Linked DNA regions of Tribolium castaneum. The protein of the gene in region 1 interacts with the protein of each later gene in a biochemical or structural test. Links are inferred from orthologs where the notes say so. Each region holds a gene or a part of one and is shown on either strand. Other genes may lie near its edges.

Region 1 (6,866 bases):
AAATTATCGCGGGTCTTTACTGCTGATTTTTGATGGAAATAACGTGATAAAAGCGGTCCCGCCAAGTGCCAAAACCCTTATCAGCGGTATCAACTGATTAAGTTTCGATCAAGTCAGCAAGTCACATGACCGCGTTGTTCGAAAGTTGGGGCATAGAGGGCGGCGCTAGCCTTGACACTGGTTTTGTCAAATTTGGCCAAATTTGACTGTTTCCGGCGGCGAATCGTGTCAAAAGTGCCAAATCGTGTTGTTTTTTTCGCGTTCGGCGTGTTCCCCTGTGGCGATAGGGCCGACTAGGGCCAGTTTGGCCGTTTCTGGTATTGTAGGTGTCGCTACTCGTTTGGTAAGATGGCCCCTGGCTGTCCTCTGTCAAAATCCTGAATAAGCAAAAGAAAAGCTACGTCATTCAGAACCGATCGTTAGATTGTGCCTGTGTTAAATAGTAAAAGTTTCGGTTTTTTCGTCTAGTGTAAGCTTCGAACGTTGAATAATGGCCGAGGGTAAAAGGTGGGTAGGGCCGGCGTCTGAATTTCGCCCATGTCACCAAGGGGCAGGAAATAGTTAATTTTGGCTAAACTTGCAGTCCTGACGACCTGGCGACTGCGATCTTGCGCCGCAAGGACCGCCCCAACAGACTCCTGGTGGAGGAGGCCACCAACGACGACAACTCCGTCGTGGCGCTATCGCAGGCCAAAATGGACGAGCTGATGCTGTTCCGAGGCGATACAGTGTTGCTGAAAGGGAAGCGGCGGAAAGAGACCGTCTGCATTGTGCTGGCCGACGAAAACTGCCCCGATGAGAAGATCCGGATGAACAGGATCGTCAGGAATAATCTACGGGTTAGGCTCTCTGACGTCGTCTGGATCCAGCCCTGTCCCGACGTCAAATACGGGAAGAGGATCCACGTTTTGCCCATCGATGACACGGTCGAAGGGCTCGTCGGGTGAGTTACCACGAAAAAGCCCCTCTCTGGGGCTAGAAGTAATTAAACAAAAGAAACCGTCCTGTGGCCAATGGGAAAGACGGATCGTTTGCCGGTTACCAATGAGAGAGCGCGCCCACAGCGCGCGGTTTGAATTCCTCCAATTGCTTAGCTGGCATGGAGTCGCTGAACTGTCATGACATGACTGTCACATTATCGCAATTATTTGGGGATCGTTCTTGTAATTTTTGAGTCATACGATTTTATCAAATAATAACACGCATTATTTTTCTACAACTTTCTCGAAAAATTATTAAAATAAATTATACTTGTTTTCCTTATACATCCGGTGATTCCAATGAATGTTGATCGGTACTTCCCACAATTTGATCGCTAGTGACTCATTATTATGACTATCTACTGTGCGACTATTATCGTATTTTTATAGTAATCGGCTTTTGATTACAAAATAACCGAAAAAAGTCAATATTTCTTAAGTCTCCGAACCTACCAAGTTTTTTTTTCATTGAAGATAATACAAATTTTTTTCTCAAGATTTAAGCACATTTTTTTTGTATAATTTTTACAACTTTGTTCCTCACAGTTTTTTGGTACCTATAACAGTAAAAAGAGACAGACTGTAGACATAAATAGAAAACTGGTTCTATTCCTTTTTAAATTCAATTCACTGTTGTATTTTATTTGTTATTTTATTTATTTAAATAGTGACTGAATAAGTAACAATTCAAAATAATTTGCAAGGAAAGCACACAACTTATGTTAATTAGTGACATAATAACAGATTGCCCTTCATTATTTTGTTTTAAATTTATCTTAGCATGTTTTTCTCAATCTTGTGTATTTTGGTATAAAAATTTGTCAAAATTCGGTACAAATCTGACAATTTTTTGCGGCTTAAATTTATTGGTTTTATTTTATTTTTTCGGGCTGCCAACGTTTTTGCGATGTTTATTTCAGGTATTAAAATAAATCGTGTTTGTTAATAAAGAGAATCGTTTTTTTTTCTTTGATGTTTATAAAACTGACGTAACGTCTGTATTGGCAAACAATTGAGCAATGTTTCTTAATTTATTTGTGACGTAGCAACTAAATTAAACAAAAACACGAAACATAGTCACTGTGATTTACAAAAAAAAACTATATTTTTTTGTAGAAATCTCTTCGAGGTGTACTTAAAACCATACTTCCTCGAAGCTTATCGACCAATCCACAAAGGCGACGTTTTCATCGTCCGTGGTGGCATGCGAGCCGTTGAATTCAAAGTGGTGGAAACGGAACCGTCACCATATTGTATCGTCGCCCCCGATACCGTCATCCATTGTGACGGCGATCCGATCAAACGAGAAGTAATAAAAATTAATCCAATTAAGTGAGTGACAATCATATTTTTTTCTATCTTGTTTTTCCCAGGAAGAGGAGGAAGCCTTGAACGCCGTCGGCTACGACGATATCGGCGGTTGTCGCAAACAACTCGCACAAATCAAAGAAATGGTCGAATTACCTCTACGCCACCCGTCGCTCTTCAAGGCCATTGGCGTGAAACCACCACGTGGTATCCTCTTGTACGGACCTCCAGGTACCGGTAAAACTTTAATCGCACGTGCAGTGGCCAACGAAACCGGTGCTTTCTTCTTCTTAATCAACGGTCCCGAAATTATGAGTAAATTAGCCGGCGAATCCGAAAGTAATCTAAGGAAAGCGTTCGAAGAAGCCGATAAAAACTCACCGGCTATTATTTTCATCGATGAATTGGACGCGATTGCACCGAAACGTGAAAAAACCCACGGCGAAGTCGAACGCCGAATTGTCTCGCAATTGTTAACACTGATGGACGGCATGAAGAAAAGCTCGCATGTTATCGTGATGGCGGCCACAAATCGCCCGAACTCAATCGATCCGGCTTTGCGTCGGTTCGGTCGTTTTGACCGCGAGATAGATATTGGCATTCCTGACGCCACCGGACGTCTGGAAGTGTTGCGTATTCACACCAAAAATATGAAGCTTGCCGACGACGTTGATCTTGAGCAAATCGCCGCCGAGACGCACGGTCACGTGGGCGCCGACTTAGCGTCGTTGTGTTCGGAGGCGGCGTTGCAGCAAATCCGCGAAAAAATGGATCTGATTGATTTGGATGACGATCAAGTCGATGCGGAGGTTTTGAATTCGTTGGCTGTTAGTATGGAGAATTTCCGTTATGCTATGACCAAGTCGAGTCCGAGTGCGTTGAGGGAGACCGTGGTCGAAGTGCCGAATATTACGTGGGACGATATCGGTGGATTGCAGAATGTTAAGAAGGAATTGCAGGAATTGGTGCAGTATCCGGTTGAGCATCCTGATAAGTTCTTGAAGTTTGGCATGCAACCGTCACGTGGTGTGTTGTTTTATGGACCACCTGGTTGCGGGAAGACTTTGTTGGCGAAGGCTATAGCGAATGAATGTCAAGCGAATTTTATTTCGGTCAAGGGGCCGGAGTTGTTGACGATGTGGTTTGGGGAGTCGGAGGCCAACGTTAGGGACATTTTCGATAAGGTTTGTTGTTTCTCTTGAAATTTGAATACGAAGTGTAATTAAAATCGCACTGAATTTAAGTAAAATTGAAAAAAAATGGGATTAAAAAAATAAAAAGATTATTATGGCGTTCATTGTGTAATGTGTAACAAAATCTTGCCAACGCGTGAACAAAAATGACGTTATTTACGGCATTAAAATATTTTCTCCTCTGAAACATAATGTAATTTTTTTTTATTGCCAAGTCATGCAGACAGAGGAATTTAATAATATTTTCCGAATGTGTGTTTGGCTTTCTAGGCTCGATCGGCCGCCCCTTGCGTCCTCTTCTTCGACGAGTTGGATTCGATAGCAAAATCACGTGGAGGCAACCTGGGGGATGCCGGAGGCGCCGCCGACCGTGTCATTAATCAAATTTTGACGGAAATGGACGGAATGGGCGCAAAGAAGAACGTTTTTATTATCGGAGCCACAAACAGACCTGGTGATTAACCCGCCAATTTTATCGATTTTTTTCTATTATTTTTTTAATTTTTAGATATCATTGATCCTGCAATCTTGCGTCCCGGCCGTCTCGATCAATTGATTTATATCCCGCTGCCGGATGAAAAGTCTCGCGAAGCGATTTTCAAAGCAAATCTGCGTAAATCCCCCGTTGCAAAAGACGTGGATCTTACTTACATAGCTAAAGTGACTCACGGATTCTCAGGTGCCGATTTGACGGAAATCTGTCAAAGGGCGTGTAAATTAGCGATTCGCCAAAGCATCGAAACCGAGATTCGGCGGGAGCGCGAGAGGGCCATGAACCCGAACAGCGCAATGGATGTGAGTAGTTTTTTCTTGCAATAAAACACAAATTTAATGAGAATGTGAAATTGTTTCAGTTGGATGAGGATGATCCGGTTCCGGAGATAACTCGCGCCCATTTCGAGGAGGCGATGAGATTTGCCCGAAGATCGGTGTCGGATAATGACATCAGGAAGTATGAAATGTTCGCGCAGACGCTGCAACAGTCGCGTGGTTTTGGCACTAACTTCCGGTTCCCGTCGGGAACGGGAGGCTCGGCTGCGCCAGGAGGGACAGGAGGCGATCAGGGCAACTTCCAAGATGATCCTGAAGACGATTTATACAGTTAAATATTCAGGCTCAATGTGCACTCTTTTTTTATTTGTATTGTCATTTTGAGTTCATTTGTGAAATAGTTTTGAATTATTATAATAAAAAAGGATTCTGTAATGACGAGAGTTTTTTTGGGTTGAAATAAAGATTTTGGTGGGTTACGAAGACGTTTTCTGATGATATCCTTGAAGTGTTTAGATCAAAAGATCGCCAGTTTATTTTAAAAATCGGGCTGCCATCTGTGACTATTCCTAATGCAAATAATTTAACTTTGAAGAGCTATATCTCGTGAAAAAAGCCTCAAACAATTTTTTATCATAAGAACTTGTAATTTAGTTTGATGTCCTTTATCAGCACCCGAGAGATTGTACAGCTCTTTTGAATCACCCTATATTAAAGTTTCTAACGAAACACGAGTTTTTTTGACGAATTTGCCTTTTATTTTCCGTTTGAGCAAAAAAAAAAATCAATAATAGGAAATAGGTAAGTATTTTTCCTAATTTACAAATTATTCTTAATGGCTTGCAATAACCCATTCCTGTCGCCACAAGCCCCGGCTTTATCGTCCTGGTTCACAGCCCACATCATCACACCACCCAAATTTCTACTTTTGGCATACTGAACCTAAAAATGCGATCACAATTTTGCAAATTCATTCGTAAAAATACTTTAAGTGCAATCGATTGTGGGTCATCGTAACCAATCCACTGATCACCGGAATATTTATAGGGCACTTCCTGCTCGTCATCCCACGCATTAACCCACCCATCGTTCAATTTACACAACTAAAATCCCCACAATTACCAAAAAAAAAATAAATAAAAAGAGATAATACTTCTCCATAAATGACTTGACCACCGTTTAGTCCAGGCCCCACAATAGGCGAGCCAATCCCATGCTGATTACCATCAGCCAGTTGGAAACTTTGCCCGTAAAAACCCAACCCGAGAACGACTTTAGTGGGGTCAGCCCCACTATTTAACCAATTATTAATCGCCGCGTCACAATTGGCATTATTTCTCTCCCAATCGGAATCGCTCGAAGAGGCATAAAGTGGGGAATTTTCCCCGGTTTTTTGTCCAGAACTCGCCGAATGGAAATCATAAGTCATGACATTGATCGCGTCAACCGCCCTGAAAACTCACCCAGTTGGCGAAAAAATCGTGTATAAACCTACTGCGAAATCGCGTTAACATTGTAACTGCTGGGGTCCGGGTACGACGACACCGCCACCGTGATCAGCCCGCCCCCGTTCTGGTCCAAAACGTTCCGAATCACCCACAACATATCGATGAAGTTCTCCTTATCGGCGGGGGTTCCCCCACGCTGGCCCGGGTATTCCCAGTCGATGTCGATCCCGTCGAAGTTATACGTTTGCATGTAGTAGAGCGTGCTGTAAGCTACGTTGATCTTCTTACCAGGATCGGCGGCAACGTCCGAAAATTTCGTCGAGCCCTCGCTCCAGCCCCCCACACTTATCAGCAACTTCAGGCCCGGGTTTCGCGACTTGAGGGCCCCAAGGCGCCGCAAAACGTCTGGAATTATGCGTTAGGTGGGTCGGTTACGTTCGGGGGTTACCATCGCTTCCGTCCAGCCGGAAACTCCCATCTGGGTTGATGCCCACGAAGGCGTAATTGACGTGCGTGCAGGCGGACACGTCGATGTCCTCGGGGGCGAAATCCGAGACCCAACTTTCGTAGTAACAAATCACTTTGTCTTGAAATAAACGGGTTTGAGTATTTTATTTTAATAGTGGAGGTACTAACCCACCGCCCCATTTGTGGGACTTAGAATTGCCAAAATCGAAATCAAAAATATTTTGGTGTACATTTTGGTCGGAAGTTTCAATTATCTACTGTTGTGGCGCTATTTGTAGTCTGGCGATATCTGGTTATCTTGCAAAAATCGAATTTTTCTATTGTTGAAAATAGATCAGGCATAAGCCGCATGAGATCGTCAACAACCAATCTCAAGAAGAGTCCTACATTCGTAGAAATAATCTTTTAAAACGCTGATAAAACCATCTTTTCTAATAACTTAGTAACAGTCAACGTTGGAAAACCTAAAAAACTAATAATACAGGGAATTGAAATATTGTTATGCCGTTTTTATTATCCGATAGATTTAGTTCACAAACTAAAAATATTTTTATTATGCTCAGTGTTTAATACAAGGTGGTGAACCAAATATTTTTAAATGGAAGACTATATATTTTTGCATAATTGAAATTTACACAAAAAAATAATGTAACTTTTTGATGTGCTCTTTACTATGGAAAAAACCGTTTTCTCCTAGC
Region 2 (8,913 bases), on another chromosome or scaffold:
CCTAGTGACAAGATTAGATTATTCGCGCTCTAATTTATTAAATCTTGATTTATTGTTGTGATTTATTTTTATAACAAAGTCGTGCTACAGCGTGATCAAGAGTGACGGTATCAGTTGGCAGTACTGATTCTCCAGCCACTCTTGATCACTACTTGTTGTACATATTGTAAATTATTGTTGCAGTCAACTGTTACTAGAAAAAAGTTTATTTGGGTAACTGCCACGTAAAAAACCTACTACTTAATAAATACTATGAATCTTTTTATCACAGTTTCTGTTTTTGTGCTTTTTGCAGTCGCAGAATTGGTTCAAGGTCATGTACCTCACCAATAATTTGCGTATGTCCTCAACCAATTCTTCAGTATACCCTAAATCGAACAAATTCCTAAACATTTCAAACCTCTCTGAGTCTATAATGTTGGCAACAAGGGCATAAGCAATACACTCGACCCTTAGAAGATTAGTCCGTGATTCAAGCGACCAATTATAAATCGTCGGAATTGTATCAGGACTTAATCTAAACTTTTCCACACAATCGGTCAAATAACACCGATAATCCTCCATCAAAAACCTATCACATAGTCCGATAACGTCCAAATGAGTATTCAAATCAATATCAATTTCAACCAAGTCGGTCTTGATCCAGTGCAGCAAACACCTTAAGGATTTATTGTTGACGTTTGGTAACGTGATCACATCCTGGCTTGACTCTTTGAAATCACCGTTAAGTAAGCGGGCAAAAAAATCTGAATTACGGCTCAGTAAACCCCTGTCGGCACTCAGTAAACTCCCATCGTCTAGTTTGAATGTGACCACGGATGATGTATCGCCAGTGTTGCCACCCGTCACGTTTTTGTAAATGCCAGACACGTTTTTTGGGTTTGGAATGCCAAGTTTTTTCGATGCTAACACACAAAGGACTTTGATGCTTTTGGTCTGGAGGGCAGATTGGTCCTTGAGGAGCTTCATCAGGATCTCCAGGCCGCCGCAGTTCAGCATGAGCTTCACCAGGATTGCTTTGCTCCTAAATGGAAAATTTCATTTGGTTATTTTTTGTGTTGGTATCTGATAATTATAGGAAAGTACAAAAAAAATGGCAACTAAATTTAATTAAACATAAATAAAAGAATAAATACTAATTCTATATAAAAACTAATTCTATCTAAAAAGGCCAAATTATAAGAATTATAATTATAATAAGAATTTGAATTAAATTAAATTAATTAATTCCTAAATTGATCCTAATTATAAGAAAATGTTAAATTTTTGAAAAATCCGCAGGCATATCATTTCATCATTGTCACCAACCTAATTTTAAAATCACAGCTTACCTGATGATGTATGGGATCACTAATACCAACTGTTGTTTAGTGACATTATCCCCTCGGAGTAGTTTATGGGCAATATCGCCCTTCCCCCCTCCAGTCTCAGCCACCCGTGATAATTTTTTGATTATAGAAGCACTAATCCATTGGAACTGGCGACATTTTGAACACCAGGAGCCATGTTGGATTTTGGCCATGTCGTAAACAGCCGGAATAAAATCGCTTTGCATCAAAGGTAGTAGATAATTGTGTGACCTAAAGTAGGCTATGAACCCGGGTTTTCCCCCTAAACAATTTCTCACCCTAATATCTTGTAAATCAAATCAACTATGTCCAAAATGGCGGATGAACATGGCCAGTGGAAGTAGGCCGTGCTTTTGATTAGGCCGAGGAGTAGTTCGGGGGTTCCCAACTGCGTAATCGGTGGCTTGATTTTGATGTAGGTTTTGAGCAAATCGACTATTTCTAAAACGAGGCGTCCTTTGATTTGTTTGACGCTACTTGAGTCCACGTCGAAACCTGTAAATTGTTTTTTTTTGTGACAGTGAATAAAATTAAAAATTATTACTTTGAATTTCTTCGGTTTCTTCCGAAATGTCCGAACTTTTCGAATCTATTTCGGGATTCGGGGATTCTTCACCTTCTGGTTTTGCCAATGGGAAGTCAGAAGGGTCCACTTCGCTACACACTGGCGAATAGTCGTCCGAATCGGATTCAGAAATACCTAAAAATAATTAAGCTATTGATTTAAATAATTAAACTTTGAAATATGATTATTTTCATCAAGTTGGTAGTAGTTGATATGGTATATTAACAATAGAGGGCGCCACGTTACGTCACATGACATTTAAAAGTTACTAACTTCACACTACATGAACGTTAGAACTGTCAATTTCTAATTTAAATTTGATGTCACAGCTTACTATCTCATGATTTTTTAATAAAAAAAGCACAACTAAGCAATTGTTTTCTGTTACCAAATTGTTTGATAAGTTTTTTTTTACCATAAAGTCGGGACCGAGGGCTTGAAGGTGGCGACAGCCCTGAAGTCCAAGACATGGCCATCTCAGATTCGTTGCTTGACCCAGGACTGTAGTCATTTCTGACACTTGAATAATACTTATCGATTTCTTCGTCGCTATCTGAACTAGAACTTTCTTCATCTTCCTTCTTAAAACAACAATCCAATCATAAATCAAGTTAAGATAATTTGTGACTTACATTCAAATCCACCATTAGCTTACTCCTCTTACTTTCCTTAAACTTGGCAAGAAAATTATTTCTGCGTTTTTTATCACTTTTATGATTAATATTAAGCGGATCAACGCTCCCGACTATCAGTTTTATTTTCTCATTCAAGACTGTCACAATGTTACACCTGACCTGATCCGCGATCAGGTTAAAGTTGTACTTGCACTTCTTCAAAGTTGATATAATTAAAATGCTACACTCGATCTGAAACCAAAGAATAAGCTCACAAAAATCGGGGTTTTACCCAAAAATTTACTTTATTATTAGTTTGAAGGGTGAGCCCACTTAGTACATTAATTAAAAGTGGAATGCTGTCGCCACACCTTTCATTTTCTCTATTTCCTGGATGGTCCAAAAGGTAGCAAAGACATTTGATACACTCTTCACATGTGGAATTAAACTCTACATAAAACAAAAAACCGGATCATAGTAGCCTAGGACTCTGAAATTAGGTTGGCAACATTGAAGAACGAAAAATAATTGGTAGTAACTCAACTCAAAAAAACTTTTCATGGCCTACTTGACGCAGCAACTTCTGCCTACATTACTCAATGTTGCCAACTTGAATTAAGTACCTTGAATGATCGTATCGTCGCTTAAGACTTCAATGAAGCTGTCAAAAATCTCCGGAACGGGCAAATCTGACTTCAACTGACTGATTTTCAAGAAGTTCATGACAATTTTAACGACTTGTCGCGGAGCCACTAAGAGAATTTTGCTAAGGTAGACAATCGAGTCGCCTTTGTCTGTACTTCTCATTTCTTGGATAGAGGGATAATAGCGATAGCGCGAATACTCGTGGAGTAACTTAACGATGTTAATAAGCACGCTTTCGCCTTTTTTCGTCTCTTGCCAGATGGCACCATACTTAATAAGCAACATCCCTACAGTTTTAAGCACCCCGTACGTTGTCACGAGCGACTGAAGCGTTTCTCGATTAACTAAGACCCTCAAAGCCCGAATACCCATTGTAATAGTAGCTTCGGAAACTTTCCCATTTTCTTCCTCCACCGAATCTTTAAGATACTTGACAATGTGTATAACAATTTGCGGTTTTTTCTCGATTATAACCCCCGCCCATTGGTCCCTGTGTTGGCACAAATTGCCCACAATTCGAAAAACGCGCCCGTTGATGCTATCATCTTTCGGGTAGCGCTTCAAAAGTTGATTGAAATTGGACAAAGCGCCATATTGACTGATCTGCAACAAACCGGTGAAACCCCCGAACCCGTGACGTCACACCTACCACATCCCTGGCACACTTTGCGTCAAGACAACAGTTCCCCAAAATGCTCAAGGAGACGTTAATCGTGCTCTTCTTGGAGGTTTGGAGGGAGGCTACGATTTGCTTAAAGCAGCCCTTTTCCCGGATTTTGCAAATGTTCTCCTTGTTTTTGGGGCAGTCGGCGTCTACCTTTTTTCGTACATCGATGAGAATCTTGAGTAATTTTGCGCTGTCTTGGGCGTCTTGAAGGGACGATAAAACCTCGTCAAAATTATTACTTGACATTGTTGGGCCGCCTTTAGTTCATTACACTGGACTGGGTGTTTTTTTCGGCGATTTTTGCAACAAAATCTGGCTCCAAACACCCGACATGTCACTCGAATGACGTTTGCGACCACTGAAGTACCAAGAAAATAGAGTGCGACATAATTGGGTCAAAAATCACAATTTTACAGCTAAAACGCCTCAAGACAACGATCAGGGGCCGGTTTGTGTCGCACTAGTAGTGTAGGTTCCACCGTTTCAACTAATTCGATTTTTTAGTTTTTGAGGTTAGGATGGAGCTGGACTACCAAATGGCGCTCATTTTGCAGCACAGGTTTGAACAAGAAGCTGGGCAAACCGAACAGTCTGATTCTGAGTTGGCCAAACAATTGCAAGAACAGTTCGAACAGGAGGCTGCAGTTGAACAGCCCCCTTCTAGTCTTGTCTATCACCAGCCTAAAAAGGGGTCCGACTCGACCAAATCACTCATAGACCCCTCATGGGAGCTCGTGGACCCCACCCCCGACATACACAACCTGTTCATAGCTTTTGACCAACGTTTTTTTTGGAATAAATTGGTGGCGGTTTGTGTCTCTTGGAGCAAGAAAATGACTTCGTGTGCTGGCATTTGCTCGTATAGTGGCAGAGGGGGGCTTTGTAGTATCACCTTGAGTGAACCGTTACTTAAATTAAGGCCCAGGAAAGACTTAGTTGAGACTCTTCTTCATGAAATGATTCACGCTTATTTATTTGTAACCCATAATAATAGAGACAGGGATGGGCACGGGCCCGAGTTTCATAAACACATGTACCGGATCAATAACGAGGCAGGTGGGTTCAAATTTTATTCTTAAAATAAGTAAGTAACACGACAAAAATTGTAATTAAGGGAGTTGGAGTTAGGGGGTTTGCACTATTGCACAAATGCGAGTTGCAGCTGTTGCAGTGGAAACCCTTTTTGTTCATTTTGTAGCGGCAGACTATTTTGTAAGCGACCATGTCGAAAGTGGCGCATCCTTTGGCTTGGACACCCTCTGAAAATGTTGAGAAATAGTTTAAACACTACTGAAACTCCACAGAGTTCAGAACGATTTAAATGATAGAAAACGTACGCTTTTTGAAGTTAAAACTGAAACACATGTCTGCTGAAAAATTTCCAATGCATTCTCTCAGTCTCCAGGGTTTTTCACAAAGCGTCCAATTGGATTGTGGGGGCCAGATGGGGACATAACTTTCTGATGGTGTCCAACATTCGTAGCAAATTATCTTCGCCAAACTGATTTCTGTAATAGTTATTAAGATAAGGGCAATACTGAGGCTTTTATGCCACATGGTTGACAATTTTTGCAATATACTATTATTTTATCGTAAGCATGTGGGCATAAATTATGTCTTATTCAATGATTATTTGTCAAAATTACATTTTTTTAACACATGTCATGTCTAAAATTAAACATTAATTAAAAAAATTGACTAATGGCAGTAGGTAATAAATAAAGACAAAGTATCTTTTATTAGATTCTGCTCTATTCTTTTTTTAGTTTTTTTTTCTTAAACATTGTTTCTATACCATTTCCTAGAATTTCTATGATTCTCTTCTAATTCTTTTCTAATACCATTTGTAGATATGAAATTTGGAGTCTTTTTCCTTTAGGATAGTTTAAAAGATTTATAACTTTTTTATAACATTATAGTTTATAATTTTTTCACTAGAGGAGAATCTAGATTTTTCTTTGGAATTAATATTCTGTAGACTGTAACTATTTCATATTTTTTAATAAATACTACTTCTACATTCTCCAAATTCTCTATAATTTTTTTTTGCTTATTTTTAAAATTATATTAGTTTCATTTATCTTGAATTTTTTTAGATTATTTTTTCTCATTTTTTCTGTCATATTCTTTTATAAAAATTCTTCTTTATATACGCATTTTTTAAATTTTTTTGTTTAAAATTTTTGTCGATTATTCTTTGTCATTGTTTTTAATTTTTTTTGAATTTTTTTTTCCGATTTCGTCTGTATGCAGATCTGAAATCTGGACTTCTCTTTAGATTATTTTGTTATGTTATGTTATGTTATGTTTTTTTTATAAATTTTTCCCCAGATGCTCTTTTTATTATTTTCTAGACTATTGTCGATTATTCTTTGTTATTATTTTTTTACATTTCTCTTAATTTTTTTTCTTCAGATGTTCATTTTTTATAATTTCTAGAGTTATAGATTACTCAAAAGTGCTCAAAGTTATATTACATACAGGCTGTTCGGTAACCAGTTATGAACACGCCGTATAAACACTTTTACACTTATTTCTGCATTCTCAATAAATTTTTTTATATTATACTTTCTGTTTTCAAAACTCTTTCATAGGTTAGAATTTTTCCTTATTATTTTTTTTTTCATATTTCTTGTAACTTTGTTCCCTGATTTTTTTCCTAAAGCCGTCTGCATATGTTTAATTGCATTTTTGTGTTTTTACTTTTGAGCAAGTAAATTCATGTTTTTTTTTTGCTACAAAAGTCGGCTACAACTTTTTAACATTTACTGTCATAGACATTTGAGGGGATTTTTAATTTAATTTAATATAATTTAATGGACTGTTAAAATTTAACACTGATTAACATAAAAAATCTAAGGGTCGGTTTACAGAAAGCGAAATTAAAATTTAATTTGAAATTAAACTAATTCGAATTAAGTTGCCATTTAAAATGCATTGACAAATGTCAAGTTAATCGCGATTAAAATTTAATTGCAATTAAAATTTTCTGTAAACCGGCTCTAAATTTGATTGGTTATTGCTATAGCAACCTACCATGTTAACGTCATTTAAATTTTAATAGTTTCGTTATATAAGATGATTACAAAGGATTTTCCATCAAGTTACCTGTTGTTCTTGTGACAGTTAAAGCCAACTTGATGTAAATTTATACTTGACATTGATTAATATTTATAGCCATTTAGACTCACAATATTTTCAGGGACTAGTATTACCGTTTACCATAACTTCCATGATGAAGTTCGTTTATATCAGCAACACTGGTGGCGCTGTGACGGACCTTGTCAGCACCGGAAGCCCTTTTTTGGCATGGTCAGAAGGGCCACAAATAGGGCTCCGGGGCCCAATGATAGGTGGTGGGCAGAGCATTTAAGGACTTGCGGTGGAACCTTTATTAAAGTAATTTTTTACCTTTTATCACTTATTTATTTTATTCACAATCCCTACAGTGTCAAAAATGTGATTGTGAACAAAATAACATAATATACATATAAAATAGTTCCCACCCGGGTGGTAATTGTATATTTGGTGCAAATTTAGGTCAAAGAACCGGAAAAGAAGAAACAGGAGAAGAAGAATGAAACGAAAAGTGTGAAGAGTAAAGATATTAGAGATTTTATGGGTGGTAATGTTAAAGGTTTCAAAGACTTGAAAAATGGCGTTGTTAGGGGAAAAAGCAACTCATCAAGCACTATAGTAGTCACTAAAAACACTAAAACTAGTGAAACTACTTTCAAACCGACGATTTTTAATGCCAGTACTAGTACTATTTTGAAGACTGAAACAAATAGCTCTAGTGCTAGTACTAGTACTAGTACTAAACCGAGTGATGATTATGTAGCTGTTCGAAATCATTGGGCCAACAAATTCAATAATGCCAATAAAAGACAATCATCCGAAGAATCATCAACTGTTTCCAAAATTCCGAAATTGTTTGGGTCTTCGCCTACTAGCACCCAAAAAAATCCCAATTCTGGTGAATTTTGTGAATGTCCTGTTTGTCATCAAAGGGTGCTGATGGCTGATTTGAACCAACATCTCGATCAATGTTTGCTTAAATCACCAGAAGAAAGAGAAAGTGTTGATCTTACTGATTCTTTCCATGAGGAGGAAGATACAAAAGAATGTCCACTTTGTAACAAAAAAATTGTAGCTTCCAAATTTGACACTCATGTTGAAAAGTGCCTAATGGAGGTTTATAACGGAGTTGAGGAAAAGTTGGCTGTTCCAAAAGCCCAAGAAGAAACGGTTTCGTGTTTAGCTTGTGGTAAAAAAATCGTAAAAAGTGAGCTTAATTCGCATTTGGATGAGTGTATGGTTGACATTTTCGATGACGAGGAAAGTAAAGATAAGGAAGTTTGTGATAAGAATAATTCGCAGTTTAATTGTCCATTTTGTTTGAAACTGGTGGAAGAGAGCGAAATGAAGGAACATATTGATGGGTGTTTGATGGCTGATAATCTCGCCGAGGCTTTTGCAGATGATGATTTTTGATTGTTAATTATTTTTGTTTTTTTTATGCCAAATATACATACTTTTTCTAACTTTGGTATTGATTTATTTATATTCCCTGACACGAAATATGCACATCCGAGGATTTTTTCGTACACACCTGTTGCCACCTGTTGCACTTAGAATAATTTAACTGAACTTGAGAATTGTAGAATTGGGTGGAGAAATGCTTTATTTTTACCTTTCTTAACAAAAAGTTAAGAAACTGCTGATTTTTTTATTTTTTAACCGTTTTAATTGTGTTATTTAAACAATAAAAAATGATTATTTTGAAGAATTTCGTCCAAAATAAGCCGAAAAGCCATAACAACATTTATGAGAGCTTTTAAATAAAATAGAGTCCAAAGTAACTTGTATTTAATTATTATTGTTATTATTAATTTTATTTTATTTAACCTCTTCATTTATTAAAGTCCAAGAGGTTACTTGTTTTACAACAACAATTAGTTTTGCCCATTCAGCCGATTTACATCGTTTTACAGAAATTATTTCTCAAAATTTTTTAAAAATCGGCTGAAGTCATTTGTTTAGTGAAATTTCTTCAAAAAATTAATTGAAACA

What was found.
Region 2: the proteins of TER94 (region 1) and mh form a complex in vitro, tested with the Homo sapiens proteins (2 studies listed by BioGRID). The link is inferred for Tribolium castaneum from reciprocal best matches to the Homo sapiens genes VCP and SPRTN.

The regions. Positions count from the first base shown.
Region 1 is NC_087396.1:21,355,597-21,362,462, forward strand, and holds TER94 (transitional endoplasmic reticulum ATPase TER94), read left to right. Parts: upstream 1-188; 5' UTR 189-490; coding exon 491-507; intron 508-583; coding exon 584-943; intron 944-2,096; coding exon 2,097-2,289; intron 2,290-2,353; coding exon 2,354-3,472; intron 3,473-3,751; coding exon 3,752-3,935; intron 3,936-3,989; coding exon 3,990-4,276; intron 4,277-4,335; coding exon 4,336-4,587; 3' UTR 4,588-4,688; downstream 4,689-6,866. Other genes in the region: acidic mammalian chitinase, read right to left, coding at 5,072-5,194, 5,239-5,355, 5,406-5,703, 5,748-6,105, 6,149-6,286, 6,337-6,400. UniProt on the Homo sapiens protein: Necessary for the fragmentation of Golgi stacks during mitosis and for their reassembly after mitosis. Involved in the formation of the transitional endoplasmic reticulum (tER).
Region 2 is NC_087394.1:3,895,155-3,904,067, forward strand, and holds mh (DNA-dependent metalloprotease dvc-1), read left to right. Parts: upstream 1-4,159; 5' UTR 4,160-4,288; intron 4,289-4,344; 5' UTR 4,345-4,358; coding exon 4,359-4,896; intron 4,897-7,042; coding exon 7,043-7,239; intron 7,240-7,380; coding exon 7,381-8,334; 3' UTR 8,335-8,385; downstream 8,386-8,913. Other genes in the region: uncharacterized protein LOC103312501, read right to left, coding at 241-1,024, 1,332-1,580, 1,628-1,844, 1,894-2,049, 2,330-2,495, 2,547-2,780, 2,833-2,978, 3,152-3,776 and 1 more. UniProt on the Homo sapiens protein: DNA-dependent metalloendopeptidase that mediates the proteolytic cleavage of covalent DNA-protein cross-links (DPCs) during DNA synthesis, thereby playing a key role in maintaining genomic integrity.